2 linked regions of the Arabidopsis thaliana genome follow. The protein of the gene in region 1 interacts with the protein of each later gene in a pairwise test. Each region holds a gene or a part of one and is shown on either strand. Other genes may lie near its edges.

Region 1 (7,249 bases):
ATTTGATGCCAAAAGACAGAAACGAAAACAAGAACGTGCTTTGATACGCATTATGCTTCTTCTTTTTCTAAGTCTACTTCTTTTGAACACCTTCTTTTTCTATTGTGTATTATGTTAATCCTTGTTAAGGATACTCATTTTGCAAATCAATATATTACTGTCCTGTTTTACTTAGATATCTATAAGAAAAAAGTTTCAAAAATCGAAACCGTTATAATTTTGTGTAAACAAAATAAAAATCAAAATAACGTAGCTCACTACGAAAAGTAACAATGTAGTTGTATACTATACAGACGTGACGTAAGCATTCAAGAAGACGACTTTCATATTAGTATGTTAGTTAGTGGTTAGGTCGCATATCCCATTGAGGTGACCAAATCCATAGTGACGAAGTAACCAAAGTGATTAATTTATATAAAGAACGTTCTGAGTGTTACTAAATAGACATATATAGAAAGGTGTCAATACAAAAATTCTCAGTTTTATGATCCAAACATATTATAAGTTATACGGCTATTATTGATTGACCTTTCATTGGGTTCCATTCAAACGCCTCATCAAAAGTGGAGCCACGAAAAAAAAATAACAAATTGAATTGTGTGATGCCACTTTCGTTAAAAATATATATGGTTCATCATCTTCATCGATGAATGTCATAGGTGGTGTTAGAATTATATCGACTCCAACCGACCTACATTATTAAGTAGTATCTTAGGGTTTTATTCCCGCATGCAAAAAATAAATAAGGTTCGGATGCTCTTAAAGTGACTATATATAGTATATACTATTCACTATTACTGATCAAATCAAATTAATATATGGAGATAGAGTAATCATATTACGTAGTTAGTAGTTACTTACTGTTCGTGATTAAAAAGTGAGCTTTTCTTTTATATTCTCAAATTTTTTAATTAGAAAACTAAAAGCTTTCAAATTTATAACAAAGCGATTCAATATAACTTCTCTTTATTTGCACAAAAATAAGTATCTTTAACGATTCGTTCATCCAATGAAATTTCCTAAATCACTTTTGTTTATGTTTTTTAATAAATTCCAACTTGACTTCTTTCACAAAAAGAAGGGAAAAAACAAAGCATTATATATTCCTTCTGATATGAAAGAAAACATATATCACATTTTCTAGCTCTTTATTAAATTAACTAAAAGAAATACGGAAAAAAAAAAACATTCTTAAAATAATTTTAAAACAGGAGCTTGTATATATGTTCCACTTGTACTAAACTGCTATTTTTGTTTGTAAAGAGTAATAATATATCCAAGGACACCCTTAATTTATTTATAAACTTAACAAAATTGAGGGAGCAAAGGGTTGGTGTAATAGGTGAAAAGAATGTGATTCTGTGTGCCGAAAGTGGAATGCAGACTCAGCTTCTAATTATATACCGTTTACAAGTTAGTGGTCAGCTTTGCCACCCATACACACACATACAAATATATCCAACCCTCACTTTTTAATTCCTTTTTCTTACATAAAATTCTATACATTCTTTTTGCTAAAGACAATTTCTTACCTTAGAAAACAGTATTTGTGTATAGTTCTGTGATGAATCATTTTAAGAAAATATAAAACGTAAATGAGTAATGTTATACTAATTTATCTACTATCATCGATCAAATGTTCAGGTTTAGAGACAATTTTCCAAGAAAATGACTGACCGTTAAAGTTGCAAGTAAAGCCATAAACCCGGTACTTGGTCCTTTTCACCATTATTGATAGTTTTGGCAAAGAGACATATATACTAGCTAATATATGTTTATTCCATAAATACAAGACATACATATTCACATTCCTCTAATAATGTAACATAACTTTTTAAATAAAACATAATTATGGTTTCGTTGCAATAGTTAAAATTTCAAAATTCTCATTTTCTCGTTTCAAGATCTTGTGAGATACAGTAACCTCCTTCACCGTAAACATTTGCTCCGGAAAACTTAATGGCAGGATCGTAGGAAGAGAAGACCGAGGATAGATTCTGACCAAGAAACATAACTCCCTCCTCTGCATTATCCCTGTCGGTGAACCCTAGTTTCGGCTCGGCCTGTTTTGAGACTAAGCAACCGTGATCAGACGATGGACGGCTAAGATTGGCATTGAGAAGATTGACGGTGGTGATGTCGTGAATGCTAGGCCGTCGTTTGTCTTTCGCACCGGAAAGCTGTCTTTGGTAGTACTTTTGGGCATGACTTGCAACCTGAGTTGGTGTTTTTGATCCCACAAAGTTCCTCGATATGTTTCTCCAATCTCCTTTCCCATACTTGAGAAGCCCTAACAAGAATCTCCTGCAGAAAACAATTAAACAAGGTCTCAGCAAACCAAGAAAACAAAGTAACTTGCAACTCAAGACACCAAAGAAGAGTGAAACAAGGATCACAAAGATTGAAAACTTTGTTCACCTGTGTTCTTCCTCCGTCCATGGAACTCCTTTCCTACGGTCTTGATCAAATCCTCTGGCTCCATTAGGAAGTTTACGATACGCATCAAAGTCACGTGGACTCACAACCTGATCAAATCCACAAGGAGTAACTGAACGGTAACCCGGGATCGGGACAAGTCCTGCTTCGATATCGAAGAGGTCTTCTTCAAGCTTAGAGTATTGCCTCATGACATCTGATATGGTCTTTCCAGGGATCATAGCAGCAACTTTGAACCAGCGATCAGGCGTGTCATCAGCGTAGACAGCAAGAGCTCGCTCAAACTTCTTGTTCTCTTCTTTAGTCCAGCTCGAGCTTTGCAAGCACATCATCTCTTGAACTACAAACCGGTGGTCAGAAGTTGGCACGTGCGAGAGTAGTGGATGCAGAGTCTCCATCGTTTAAAGGCTACGAGATAAAAGTTCTACCTATAAAATAAAGTACTTAATATTTTTCCTCTAATTCTTGGAAGCTTGATTTGTGGGTTTAGTAAAAGACTGAAGCTTCTTATAGGATCTAAAGATATATAGGAATCAAACTGGGAAAACTAACGAATAGTTTAATGATGGAATCAAAGAACCTGATTTAGTGAGAGATTATAGCGTATATTAATTGAAGAATCTGGAAAGAAACACAAAAGACTAAGACTTTGAAGAATCCTTGAGAATCTGCAAAAGTGGGTCGTCAAAGTAATACAAAACAGGCAAAACTCAGATGGTAGAGAGAGATAATCAGTAAGATAGATAGGGAGAGATTGTGAAGCAAAGGGAGAGAAGAAGAAGGTATTTGTGGTTTGTGTTATAAAGAGAAAGAGAGAGTGTAAAAGTTTTAGCCAATGGAACCACTCCACTCCCCTACTTGGCTTCATTTTATTCCAAAGAGGATTCTTCACAATGACACGAATTCTAAAAATAACAATAAACTTCAATTATAAAATTCTAACTAGCTACTAGCTAGGCCAACATTTCATATCTTTCCAAAATTTTAATAACCACTAGTATACACCGTTTTTTTTTGTTAGGTAGTTTTTCTCTAATATTATTCAAAATAAAAGCGACAACACATAAAGTTGTTCATACTTAATGATAGTTTACGTGTTATACGTCGGCTATGTCTAAGGCTTAACTAATCATAAAACACACATAAAATAAGGAGAAAAACTTCAAATTTACTAAAAAAAACCAAAAACAATGCGATTGCTTTACTTAACAAAAACAATGCGATTGCTACAAATTGTTTATAGATGTAACTTAATTAATGTTATTCGAGATAACACGTAAGCTTAAACTTAACGACACTTTATTCTTTATGTCTTTTTTTGTATTTCGTACCACTTGAAAATGATACTTCTACGAAATTTCATAAGCCGCCACAAAAACAAGATTGAAAAAGAAAGAATAAATATAATAAATGCAGAAGCGCCTGTAGCTCAGTGGATAGAGCGTCTGTTTCCTAAGCAGAAGGTCGTAGGTTCGACCCCTACCTGGCGCGTTAATTTTAGTTTCTTACTTTTTAGAAAATTACTCCTTAACCTTAAAGGGGTAATTAATTATTGGGATGCGACTAAACCTTTTTTTGCCCACTTTGGGTACTGTTTTTTGTCGTCACTCGCTTTATCTACTTTTTAATTCAAAAAAGATTCTAATCATCAACTCTCACTCAAAAGCCCCTTTCACACACTCCATTGTTGTCGGTGTCCCAAACCTTGTTCTGCTCTCTCGTAATATGCATAGAACTAAATGCTAAATATCTTCTCCTAATGAATGAAAGTGAGAACAATTCTAACACAAACCACTTAAGAATTAGGCAATTCAAAGGTTCATCAACATGATTCTCTACCTGTCTGTTTTTATATAATCCATATTCATAGAACTAACAAAGAACGATTCTTTTGGGTATAACATCAGACAGAGACAGAGGTCAGAGTACAAAAAGGATGGCTTGTAAAATACACTTGAACCTATGTTGTAGTAGGAATAGGAAATGAAGTAGATTGAAGTCTCTGCAACCATGCGATTCTCAAACTGGGCTTCTTCAGCTCTAAGAAGATCTCTCTATACTCTCTCTTCAGAAACAGGTCCAACGCAAACATGTAGAGCTCACTACCTTGTTCGACCTCTTCAATTGCGTTGAGGCTTTTAATGCATTCTCCAATGCTGTACATCGGCTTTGCCGATTCAATCTCAACGAATACCGGACTTTCCTGCAACATAACGTCATTCATTAACTTCATATCATCCAATGGTTGAGCGTTTTCACTGTCTATCCGATCTTCTTGAGACTCTGCATAACAACCATTTTGCCTGGAGGTTTCTGCTTCATCTACGTGCATCTTTGATAATGGAGTTGTGTCACGCCATTGTGGTGATTCAGAACGATTGTGGAGGAGCTTCTTGCGCGAACGCGAAGGAGGAGTGTATGTCTCTCCAGGTTCTATCACTCCGTTGAAAATGATTGCAAGTTGATCAGCATGAGGAACTTCCTTGTGGCGGAATTGTCCTGCTCTTGGGTTTTCCTGTAATAAACCAAAGACAAACACTATCTGTTCAAAATGTAGTCCAATGGGAGAAGGATAATAGTTAAGACAACTAACATTATCATACCCGAATATAGATTCGCCATTCCTCTTCTGTTGCACCAAAGCTACGAGATTCAGGATCCCATTTCATGCTACTTGCTCCAACGAGTTGACACCAGATCTTCCAAGCTTTCCTAGTGCAATCCCAGTGGTTTTTCAGCTGCGGTCTCGTATAACCAAGGCCGGTATTTTCATTAATAGTCCCCAGAATCGTCTTCCACCCTTCCTTGTTAAAATGAGTGTCGGGTCTATTTCCCTTTAAAGTCTCTTGAACCAACAGATCAAGAAACAGCTTATGTGTAGACGGAGACCAATACCCTTTTGTTTGAGGGTTAGATGAACTACACATGCTTTGGTTATCTTCATCTTCTTCCTCGTAACAACTTCTTCGCCTCTTCCTTACACCCGAGACTTCATCATTTTTCACCTCTACATTACAACCCGCAAAGAGAATCTCTAGCTTCTTGAGATCATGCGGAACACTCAACCGATACTGCCCAGCATCAGGATTCTCCTACGGCACAAAGCAATCACATTTTAGCATTTTATAAAATCAACAAAAATGAATGTAACAAGTGGTTTTGATTTGTAAACCTGTAAATAGTTAGCCCAGTCATCATCAGTTGCACGAAACCTGTTGCTCTCAGGGTTCCAATTCATAAAACTAGTTTCAACGAGTCTACGCCATATTTTCCACTGTCTGCTCATTGTATCCCAATGGTTCTTAAGCTGCATTCTATCGTACATGGCGCCTGTTTGCTCCTGAAACGATATCAATATGTTCCTCCAACCTTCTTTCGAAAAATGTGTCCCTGGTTTATTCCCTAGCATCGTTTGCTCCACACATAAATCAACAAACACTCTGTGATACTCAGGCTCCCACACTGCTTTTGGCCTCATTTCTTTTTTAACTTCTGTTCTCCAAAACTCCTAACAATTAAAAACGATACCTTTATCATTGTGAACTCGTTTTTAACAAAAGCACAGAGAGACAGAGACATTTGCATAAACATTAACCCAACAATTCTAGATATTGAACACAAATCATATAAACAAGGCATTGAACCAGAGAACGCAGACGCAATTACTTGAAACGTGTTTCAGGGAAAAATATGATTTTGCGACCTGAGACTTCGCCTACTTCAAAATCCCAGTAGTAACCGAACACGAAAATGGGGAAAATTGCACGAAACCCTAACTCGATTAATCGGGAGACTGAAAAACTACGATAGTGGTTAGGATTTCGCCGGCGGGAATTGGGAAGCTGAAGAAGGGAAAACGTTACCGGGAATCTGATGGAAACGCGACAGCGATTGAGTGGCCACTCTGTGACGGGTGTGGCTGGAAGAAGCCGATCGCGATTTTTCCTCTCTTTCTCTGCTTTTTGCGTTTGCGCCGCGCTGTACGGATTTTCCAAGGCTTTTCTAAGAGTTATGGGCTGGGCCGAGTTCTTTGGTCATGGGTCATAGCCCAATAAATTACACCGGTTCTTGCCTGACTATTTGTTTCCGTTTGAAGAGATACTCTGATTGGTTAAGAGGACACAGACTGTGAGACTGGTTTGCGTTGGGTCCGGTCTTGATTTTGTTCAAATTTCTGCTCGACTTAGATGTTTTTTTTGCTTTCTTATCGAAACATTTTTATAGCTGATTATGTGAAGGAGTTAGGAGAATTGAATATGGGTTTATCGAAAAGGTGATTATTGTTCCAATCAAATATATTTAGGTGACTATCGGCATCATTGATAAGTATAGATATAGTTTGTGGGGGAGGGTGACCACGATTACCAAAATTAATAGGGGACTCCAGCAATAAGATTTGCTTTAAATGGTGCCGACCAAATAATAAATAACATTTGCTTTAAATGGGCCGTAACGTATAAATCCAGATACAAAAATAATGGAAATTAGTCCAAAATTTAAGAAATAATGGTACAGAAATAGCTAGCTAGCTCCAGCTCCCCCAAATCGTCACTAGGGAACAAACTGCTTTCTACTCGTTTTTTTTTATGATTTCTTTTGCTTATTCTGTTATGGACTTTGTATTTTCTTGTTTTCTATTCGTGGTTTTCTTGTGGACTGATTAGCGTTAACACGTTATAAATCTTGTATACTTTACTTTTTGTGTTATACAGAAAATCTTCGAGAGAGAAAGATAACGAGGCATAACACATGATTTTTACCAAAAAAATATATTAGGAAGACATATATATGGCTTGAAAATGTGACTGAAAAG
Region 2 (9,787 bases), on another chromosome or scaffold:
ACGAAACCATTCATTTTCGGTTTCGGTTTTCTTGACTGATGTGCAGGATAGCAGAGAAGAAGATAATTCGAGGGACGTTAAGATGATGTCAAGAGAGAGCAAGAAGATGGTGAAAAGGTGAACTTGGTATGACTCTAGGAAGTTTGATAAAGTGATTCTCCATTGTTGGTTGATAGAGATGAGTTCTTCTTGTTGTTGTTTTGGGGAGAAGTTGCAGAGTTGCCTCCATTTCCGTCGTCTGCACCAACTCTTGATTAGGTTTTGGATCGAGAATTCGACATTATCAACTGTTCCGGTGTTGATGATGTTCATCAAAAGATGAAAAGTTTTGGAAGTTGTTGATAGATGATGATATGAGCTTTAAAGGAAGGCAACCATTTTAAACAGTTTTAGGAAATTAATTATTTTTGGAAAGATGGCTTGAAAGGCAAGTAAGGTTGAGATATGATACAAGCTTTATTTATTTCTTAAGTGAAGAAACACACTTGCCAAATCTGAAAGACAATCCTATTAACACAATTTGAAGATAAAAATTCAAACTACAAATGACCAACAGATTTTCAATTAAAAGTTACATATATCAAAAATACTGCAAATAACGTAAAGTTTATTACAAGACTATTCCGTCTTTGACGCCATGAATGCAGAGAGAATTCATTATTATTAGTTCAACGTGGACAACTTTATTTTGAGCCTTTTTTCTCAAGACTTCCATTTCGTTGTTGCATTGACTATGATAGCAAATTAGATCTCTCTTTTACTGATTGCAAAAGTGTGAGAATTTTTTTAAAAACTTGGAGAGATTTGAATCCATGGCAGCTGCAAGTGGAGTGCGTAGGATCAAGCTAGGAAGCCAAGGTCTTGAAGTGTCAGCGCAAGGTCTTGGTTGTATGGGACTTTCCATCTTCGATGGAACTACCAAGGTTGAGACAGATCTCATTGCTCTCATTCACCATGCCATTAACTCCGGCATCACACTCCTCGACACCTCCGACATTTACGGTCCTGAGACCAACGAGTTGCTCCTTGGTCAGGTTTGAATTCGAGATATCCTATGTTTGTTCATACACTATTGAGTTGCCTAGGATTTGAAATTGCTTGGCTATGTGAATGTAATCAGGCTTTGAAAGATGGGATGAGGGAGAAGGTGGAATTGGCAACCAAATTTGGGCTTCTCTTGAAAGATCAGAAATTGGGTTACAGGGGAGATCCAGCCTATGTGAGAGCTGCCTGTGAAGCAAGCTTAAGGCGTTTAGGAGTTAGCTGCATAGATCTTTATTACCAGCATAGGATCGATACCACTGTCCCCATTGAAGTCACTGTAAGCTTTTTCTTGGCAATCTTTCTTCTTTCTTGAATCCTTCAGCTGATTGTTATGGTGTTGTCTTGTCCTGCCATTTCAAAGATTGGAGAACTGAAGAAGCTAGTTGAAGAGGGTAAGATAAAGTACATTGGTTTGTCTGAAGCCTGTGCCTCGACTATAAGAAGAGCCCATGCTGTTCACCCGCTAACCGCTGTGCAGTTGGAATGGTCTTTATGGTCGAGAGACGTTGAAGAAGACATCATTCCTACTTGCAGGTGCAGAATCTTCCGCAAACATCCCTCTTCCTTGATATAATTTTATATCCTCCTCTTGTAATGTTCATTCTTTGCATTACTTTCTCCAGGGAGCTCGGGATTGGAATTGTAGCTTACAGTCCTCTGGGACTGGGGTTCTTTGCTGCAGGACCAAAATTCATTGAGAGTATGGACAATGGTGACTACAGAAAGGCAAGTCCATCACTATATGAATGTTCACCATCTCTTTTAAGTACATTCAAGAAAAGAGCCGAGTATTAAGCACATTCACCATCTCTTAATTTCAGGGTTTACCGAGATTCCAGCAAGAGAACTTAGACCACAACAAGATTCTCTATGAGAAGGTCAATGCAATGGCAGAGAAGAAAAGCTGTACTCCTGCACAATTAGCTTTGGCATGGGTTCATCACCAAGGAAATGATGTCTGCCCAATCCCAGGAACCTCTAAGATCAAAAACCTTAATCAGAACATAGGAGCTTTATCTGTGAAACTCAGTATCGAAGAGATGGCCGAGCTTGACGCCATGGGACATCCCGATTCTGTGAAAGGGGAAAGGTCAGCCACCTATATAGTTACTTACAAGAATTCTGAAACTCCACCACTGTCTTCTTGGACTTCATAAACCATCTGTAATAGTTTTACTCTGCCATCGTGCTGAGCTATGTTCTGAACTACTTTTCATCATCGTCTTTAAGCTACATTATTGTTTGTCTGTTTCTGTCTGAAATTAATGAAACTTTTTAAAAGTAAATCTCTAATAAGGACTGAAGATTCTGCAAACATTATAACAATGAATTGAGACAGGTGACAATGCGTATATACAATGATTTGTGTCACATCACGACTTAAACCATGAAGATAACGTATACGTACCTAGAGGATGATAAATTATTACCTTAACTAGAACTTGTGTTACACATAACCGGCCTCTGAATACCACTCAAAAGAACTGTCACTATACTAATTTAAGCCTCAACAAGAAGATTACAGCAAAAGACTTTTGAGTTCTATCAACCTATGCCGTCTTCTACGAATTGCAAGGAATCCTATGATCGAATTACGGCCAAAGCATTTTGTTCGTATCAAAGAGTTTTACCTTGGCTTTAGAAGGAGTCTAATTCATTCTTCTCTGTCAAATTACCCGAGGGCAAAAGGATTTTACCAATACTGATTGTTGAATCTCATGTTCTGAAGCGGTGTCTGCAGTTGATAAACATTGCCATGTCGTCCACGGAAATACTGCCACGTACCAGGCTCTTGTACTATTTACTTTAGTATCGGTCAAAATCCGGATTTCCCCATCAACTTCTTGGCTCTTGCTTCAGGTGGATGCTTGGTGGAATGTTGTACGATATTGGCTGTGAGACAGGGAAACAATCCACTAAACATCAGGCATGGCCAGCTTCCAAGAGAAATCCTCAAGAGATCAATAAAACTAAAAAACATTAATGGTTTCTATGTTCATATTTATATCTTAATATGTTTCACTTTTTGGGTCAAGAAGCTCTAATTATTTGAGGTCACATGGCGAACTTTTCAGGATTAGCTATTTTGACATATGTAGCAAAATATATTACCTGTGTTGTACTCGACAATAGATTGCTTGCAAGATCATCATTAATTGAAACCGGTAGAGCCGGCATCCGACTCATGATTCCAGGCATCTCCTTCATGCTGCAGAAGAAACTAAGAATTTAGCAATTGAAGGTTTAAATTATAGAAAGGAAGACAGATGAGATGTCTCAATTGTGAAAATTGAATTAGTATTAGATCCACATACTCAGTCAAAATGGCGCTGATATTGTTTCTTGCCTGATGAAAGAGACTGATGTTATCCTGCAGCTGTATGCACTAAGTTAGCATATCTATGTGCGAATTACTTTGCAAAAGGAAACAGTATCAAATTATTTTCTAAAGAATAACTGAGCATGTAGGAAATCTGGTATACAATGTTTGATCAAACTTGTATGACAGTTTCAGTCTGTCAATCTTCTCGCACAACTAGCCACAAAGGATTGCAAGTATAAATTACCTTGCACGCAGAGAGGTTGTAAGAAATCTGACTAAAAGCTTGAGCATTTTGCTGTAGAAGATCCATTACTGCGTCACTTAAACCTGCGAATAGTTCAACAAAAGTACCTAGCTGACAATTTGATTTTGTTTATTTTTAAGACCACACAACCCAGAAGAAGAGCAAAGAATTAAAAGAGCACTAGACCTTCGAAAGGCGTGCGTGTACTGTGGCACATATTGTTCAGGACATATAAAGCATTTTGTTGTGGCACATTGGATAGCATGTTCAGTTCTGGGGATGTATCCACCACCTTACCATGAAGAAGCATGGTCTTTAGAACCAAGTTTAAAAGCATATTGATCTACAGAAGTTCATAAGACCCAGGAAGGAGAATGTGCATGAAATGAAACACACACACTAACCCTTTATCAAATGTCATAACAATCACTAGATTACCTTATAATTATCATTATAAACATGCCCACAAGCTCAGATACTCATAAGTAATATATGCTAATACTTCTGCAGAGTTGGATCAACATCATTTGCTGCTCGTCAGTCATTGAAAAATCGATCACAAACTTTATTGATTGTCCAGTCATGCAGACAGTCCTTTTTCTTAGTCAGGAACTAACAAAATATGTTCTCATGAAAAGTCCACCATACAAGCAATTTAGCCAATTACAGTTTCTTCGTTGAAAAATACCATCGTTAGCTCAGACTTGCATGAATAAAAGTCACATCTGTGGGAAAATCCCGTTTAACCCAAAACGTAAATGAGGCACCTACCTCCATCGACTTATTAACTGGTAAATACGACACAAGAAAGGTTGAGGTGGGCAAGCATACCTTCCTAGTGCTAATGTTCTTAGCGGCATTATTATCCTCTCGTTTCCTCCGTTTTCTCTGTGAAAATAGATACCCGACTTAGCCAAGAGAACTTTAAAGACCATGATAGATATCTGGTGGCAAACAAGCACTAAATTAAAAGAAAACGGAGTAATTTTGCAGCTTTATGTTTGATTACATCATATATCTGATTGAAAACTCAAGTCAATTATGAAAGGACAGAGACATGAAGGAGATGGAAATATGATGATAATAAAGCATTGTACATTTGTACTTCATTAATTCATTTCATTATTATGCAAACAATTAACATTATGATGTATGTAAACTCATGCTGCGAGCAATATAATCATTTTAAAAAAAAAACCATAAAAGTATAGGGATCAGTCTCAGCCATCACCCGTAAAAGTAAAATCTATGTGAGGATAACTACAGAAATAATTAACAAAAAGCGTTAGGCTTATTTCCTTTTCCAATAATTCCTCCACAATCATGGACTCGAAAGCTAATATAAAGACTAATCTAGCGTCAGCAATACTTGTCATTTTCTCTTTTTGCTCGTCCTTTACCAGTGTTTAGACAATCTTTACGACATGTCAATGACTTTTCATCAATAAAACCGCTAGCTTTTTTTGTAGGACTTTATCTTTATCACAAAGCACACACGCAAGATTGCATCATCATGCTGATTCCCTCATATTTAGCATATGCTTTTAACAGTGACAGAAATATCCTTCAACAAAAATCCTTCCATAACAGCCACATACCACTTGAAAAGGAATGCTAGAGACAACTAAGTAATTCCCTAGCAAAAGAAATATCCTTGAGAGACGTCTAGAGTGGTAATTTTTCTTGTCATCTAAGCAAAAGCACATAAACAACAGGAAGTATGCACATAGCTCAAGGAAGCTTAACCAACTTACCGTCATCCATCTACACCTCAATGCTACATCCCTTACAGTTTTATCCGGTAGAGTTGCAGCGATCTTTACATACTTTGAAATTTTGGGTTCATCTTTTAATCTACAAACGGAAAAAAAATAAAGATGTCATAAATGCAAACAAATAGAACAAACAAGCTACAGACTCTAGAAAACCAAAGTAACCAGGAACAACCTCAGCTAGAAAATCGATAACTTAACCCGAACTTACTAATGGTCCCAGTCCCAGAAAACAATGTCATGGAACACACAAAGGCGATACTTTTATAATCAGAAGGAACAAAGGAACATACTTTAATAGTCCACCATTGAGAATATAATGTTCCCACTACTACTTTTCTGATAAAACAATTCCCGATTTCAACTTTTATGTATTGTTATTGTAAAAATATAAGCATAGTTTGAAAAGCTACGAATGAACAAAGACACATTTAGGATATTAAAAAAATAAGAAATGGAAATATCCAAAGAATTAAGCAGAAACGAAGATACCTACTTTGCAAGGCCGTTCTCCAAAACATACTGTTCCTCAACGGACCAATCCATAACCAAAGCAGCTTCTTGTTTGACTCCTGCAGCCACTGAACCCGAAGCATCCACAGCTGGGTGAAAACCGGAGGAAGCGTTAATCGCATTAACACCGTAATTGGTCGGGAATACAAGACCGGTGGTGCTAGTACTTGGCAAGCAGTGATTATCCATTGGAATCATTCGTGGAGATTTGATAATTGAAGCTGATTTGAGCTACGATGATGCCCCCAAAGATATCAAATTTAGGGTTTTAGCAAATCCAGAAACAAATAAATGAAACAAAACACAGCTGAAAGAATAAAAAGATGAGAAACCCACCTCAGATTTGGCATCAACAAAGAAGATAGAGTAAAACTTTAATCAGGGGCAGTGATGGTAATTAGGGATGTGACCGACAAGAGAGAACGCAAGCAAACACCTCCGAGCAGTAGAACTGAAGATTATAAAGGATGTGATGTGAGAAGAAGATCGATCAGAGAGTGGCAGCTAATTGCGAACTCCAATGGGAGAAAATCGAGAGAGAGAGAGAGAGAAAGAATGAAAGAGAGAGTGTGTTTGTTTAGTAGTAATTGGCTGTGTTGTTTGTTTCTTGCAGAACCTCTTTGTTGTATTCATACTCCTTTGCTTTCTTTTCTTTTGGCCTCTTTTTTTTTTTTTTTTTTTTTTTTTGCCTCCAATTCCTTTTTTTCCATATTCTTCTTGGTAATAAAATTTTTATAACTAGCGAATTAAAATTGTATTGTTAATTTTTAATTTTAGTTAACAATTAATCACTTGCCTTTAAGTTTATCTTTAGAGTTTAGAGATATCAAGGCATCAATATGTAGATATCAATCTAGATTTGGATGGAGATCTTGGCATATTATTAATATTAGTTAAAATTTAGATTCATTTTCCGATTGTAACTAAACATCGAAAAAAGAAAAATTTACTTCTATTAGTATAGTGGTAGGCGTCAGAGTGACCCATGACATCTGAGTGGGAATTTATATACAAAATAGTTTTACCTAAATATTCATTTAGCAGTACTATTAAACATTCCTAGTTAATACTAATCTAAACCCACTTGTTGGATCGAACTCACACATAGTGGTTACAGAGTGTTGAGCCAAAATAATCGAGAAATGAAGAAGAGTCAAGTATCACAAACAATATGGCTTTTTGTATACATTTGTTCCTTAACAAGTCTTTATGAACACTGCAGGAAACAAACAAACATAAATGACATATAATTTACCAATGAAGCCTAAAGCATGACATATAATTTACCAATGAAGCCTAAAGCTTGCACCTTGCATTAGCGGGTGAGCAAAATATGCCCCAACCGTTAACGCAGTGATTGCAAGATATGGCAACCTGACAAATTCTTTGTAGTAATCCTCAGGTAAAACTTGCCGTCCTTCGAAAATGGCAGCAAATGGAATCACACTTGTTCTCTTCTTGATGCTTTCAAAATCCTCTCCATATCTTTTTGCCAATCTCCTGTCTCCATTCCACGCCCCAAACAAATGGTGTGCAATCAAACCGAGAGAAGCTGATGCAGCTACTGTGTTTCCGATCCAGAGAGTATGTGCTAAACACCAAACGATTTGTCCAACCATCTGGAGAAGATCAGAGGAGAGAGGTGCAACAATCAAGTCTCATTAACAAAGCCAGTATAATGAAGAGAGAATAGAACAAACCAAAACTGAAGCTAAAATGCCTATCTTTCTATATATTATCAAGTTTTTCCAAACACATGATGAAGCAATTGGATAAGAATTTTAAGATCAAAAGCAATATCAAGTAAAGTAATCAAGCATTGATGTAATAAACATAGAAGGATGAGGAGATTTGATTGTGCTGATGTAATGGGTGTATTTAAGTCAATGGCCAATACCTGCCCATAATTGATTCAATGATTGGGGGTCTCATTAACACAGCCACTAATAAACCTTGGCTCATAAAAATCCAATCTTTCTGTATTTTTGAAACACAAAAATGAAGGAAATTGTCTTCATGTTTAGGCACATTAGGGAAATGTTCAAAACCTGAGGATGTCGAGTGATTCTCATGATGCCGGTCTCCCAGAGATGCATCTTCGGTTTGTCAACAGCTGCTACCTCCAGAAGATTGAAGGTTGAAGGATAGAGAAAGAAGAAGGATACAAAATTAGCGACCCAAATAGCTTCATGGACTCCAGGAACACCCTGAAGCTGCCATAACTGTGACCCATCATATCTATGGTTTATAAAGTAAACCTGAAAGAAGAACAAGGCATTGCATAGACCATAAGAGACATCAAACAGGTATTTATACCATTGATCAGGAGAAAAATTGCAGAGTTAGAAGAGAGAGTACTCACAATGGTGCTCATAGCTAAAGGAAGAGAGATTCCAGCAAACAAAACACGAAATGCTCGTTCACCTATAAGTTTCTCTCCTATATCCCTTAGACTAGCTAAACCACTATGTACAATTGCAAATATAAGGATAAGCATTAACATAGCAACCTGCAAAAACAAGTGGTTTTTAACAATCAAATAACTGAAATTGAAACTGGTTCAGTTACTGTTAAATTGATCTATACCTCCGGTGAGCCGGAGATGTTAGAGACGGCGTCGATGAATGATTTTCCGAAACCGGTGGAATTATCGATCCAAACAACATTGAGGATAAAGAGAACAACTCCAAGGACAACACCGAAATAAACCCAGGAAACAAGCTTCTGTTTCCCTAATTCAAAAGCAGCAGAATCTTCACCGATCAGTAGAGTAGGACTACTCTCGGAGTCAGAGGCGATGGGTTGGTCTTCCCGGAGAGTGCTACGAACCAGAATTTTCCGAATTACCGGTGACGAAGAAGAAAGCAAGCTGGTCGAGTTTCCGAGGCGAGGATGAGCTGGGATACGGCGGATTAAGGTGAGGTTAGGGCGGCGAGGAGAAGGAGGGAGAAGAAGAAGCGAAGGTGGGCTCGAGAGAAGGAGATGATAAACCGCCATTGTTCTTGTTGGTAAACAATCTTTCGAAGAGGAAGTAATAAAAAGATGTCGTTTTTAAATTTCTTCAAACAATCGTCCGAAGAAGAAATAATAAACGTTGTCGTTCAAGGGATTTAGCGATGGAACTAACACTACAACTATAATAAAATCTCTATAAATTAGATTTTTTACTCTTTTGATTAGGATTTTGATAACTATGTATAATTTGTTGTAAGGCAATCAGAGGTCCAATACAAGATAAATCTTTCAAAACTTCAATAATTTTTCATTATGCATAAGAATAAAGATTTTTTTTGAAAAGCTTGTAAATTAAATTACTTCACAACAACAAAAATAAAAACAAAAACATCCACGAAAAACAAATATAGGATCCATTCTACCACCAAGTCTTTCACTTTCTGACTCAAAAAACAAAAACTTGGGTAGTCTTTGCAATCAGTTGTCGTGCAATGCTTTGGTCAGGTAAAGCCTGCTGAAGTTCTGGCCAGCCACTCTGCATAACAACAGGTCGACTCATTTTAAGTATCTTTCAAAGCTCCAAAAATGGTGAAACAATACTAAAGAGGAACATACCCATTGATTTGGCCACAGAAGTTTGAGACTTGGTTTGTGATGAGGAAACTCTCTAGCCTAGATGGTTCAGGGATCGCCTTAAAGATTGGGTTTGAAGGATCCTCTTCTGGTAAAGGCTCCTCTCCAGCTGATTTACGAGCCATGTTCTCCGTTCTATAAACCAAACACCTCTTTCATTAGTTGGAAGATCAAAAGGACAAGGAAAAGCTGAAGACAAATGTTACAAGGCATTCACAACTCTCGTAAGTAAAGTTGTATCACCTTCCAAGATAACGAGGTAGTGAAACTAATCAAACCTGAACTAGAACAAAAAGGTTCTGC

What was found.
Region 2: the proteins of AT5G05790 (region 1) and AT1G10820 interact in a two-hybrid assay, tested with the Arabidopsis thaliana proteins (one study listed by BioGRID).

The regions. Positions count from the first base shown.
Region 1 is NC_003076.8:1,738,838-1,746,086, forward strand, and holds AT5G05790 (Duplicated homeodomain-like superfamily protein), read right to left. Parts: upstream 3,350-7,249; 5' UTR 2,835-3,349; coding exon 2,419-2,834; intron 2,305-2,418; coding exon 1,887-2,304; 3' UTR 1,686-1,886; downstream 1-1,685. Other genes in the region: AT5G05800 (Myb/SANT-like DNA-binding domain protein), read right to left, coding at 4,397-4,951, 5,040-5,528, 5,609-5,914.
Region 2 is NC_003070.9:3,598,557-3,608,343, forward strand, and holds AT1G10820 (hypothetical protein (DUF3755)), read right to left. Parts: upstream 6,503-9,787; 5' UTR 6,233-6,502; intron 6,128-6,232; 5' UTR 6,095-6,127; coding exon 5,880-6,094; intron 5,466-5,879; coding exon 5,366-5,465; intron 4,500-5,365; coding exon 4,443-4,499; intron 3,904-4,442; coding exon 3,798-3,903; intron 3,695-3,797; coding exon 3,612-3,694; intron 3,422-3,611; coding exon 3,360-3,421; intron 3,254-3,359; coding exon 3,157-3,253; intron 2,938-3,156; coding exon 2,881-2,937; 3' UTR 2,354-2,880; downstream 1-2,353. Other genes in the region: AT1G10800 (voltage-gated hydrogen channel-like protein), read right to left, coding at 1-312; AT1G10810 (NAD(P)-linked oxidoreductase superfamily protein), read left to right, coding at 813-1,034, 1,121-1,321, 1,406-1,578, 1,668-1,770, 1,866-2,201; Z-ISO (15-cis-zeta-carotene isomerase), read right to left, coding at 7,180-7,515, 7,945-8,154, 8,259-8,405, 8,483-8,893; TIF3H1 (translation initiation factor 3 subunit H1), read right to left, coding at 9,329-9,386, 9,467-9,619.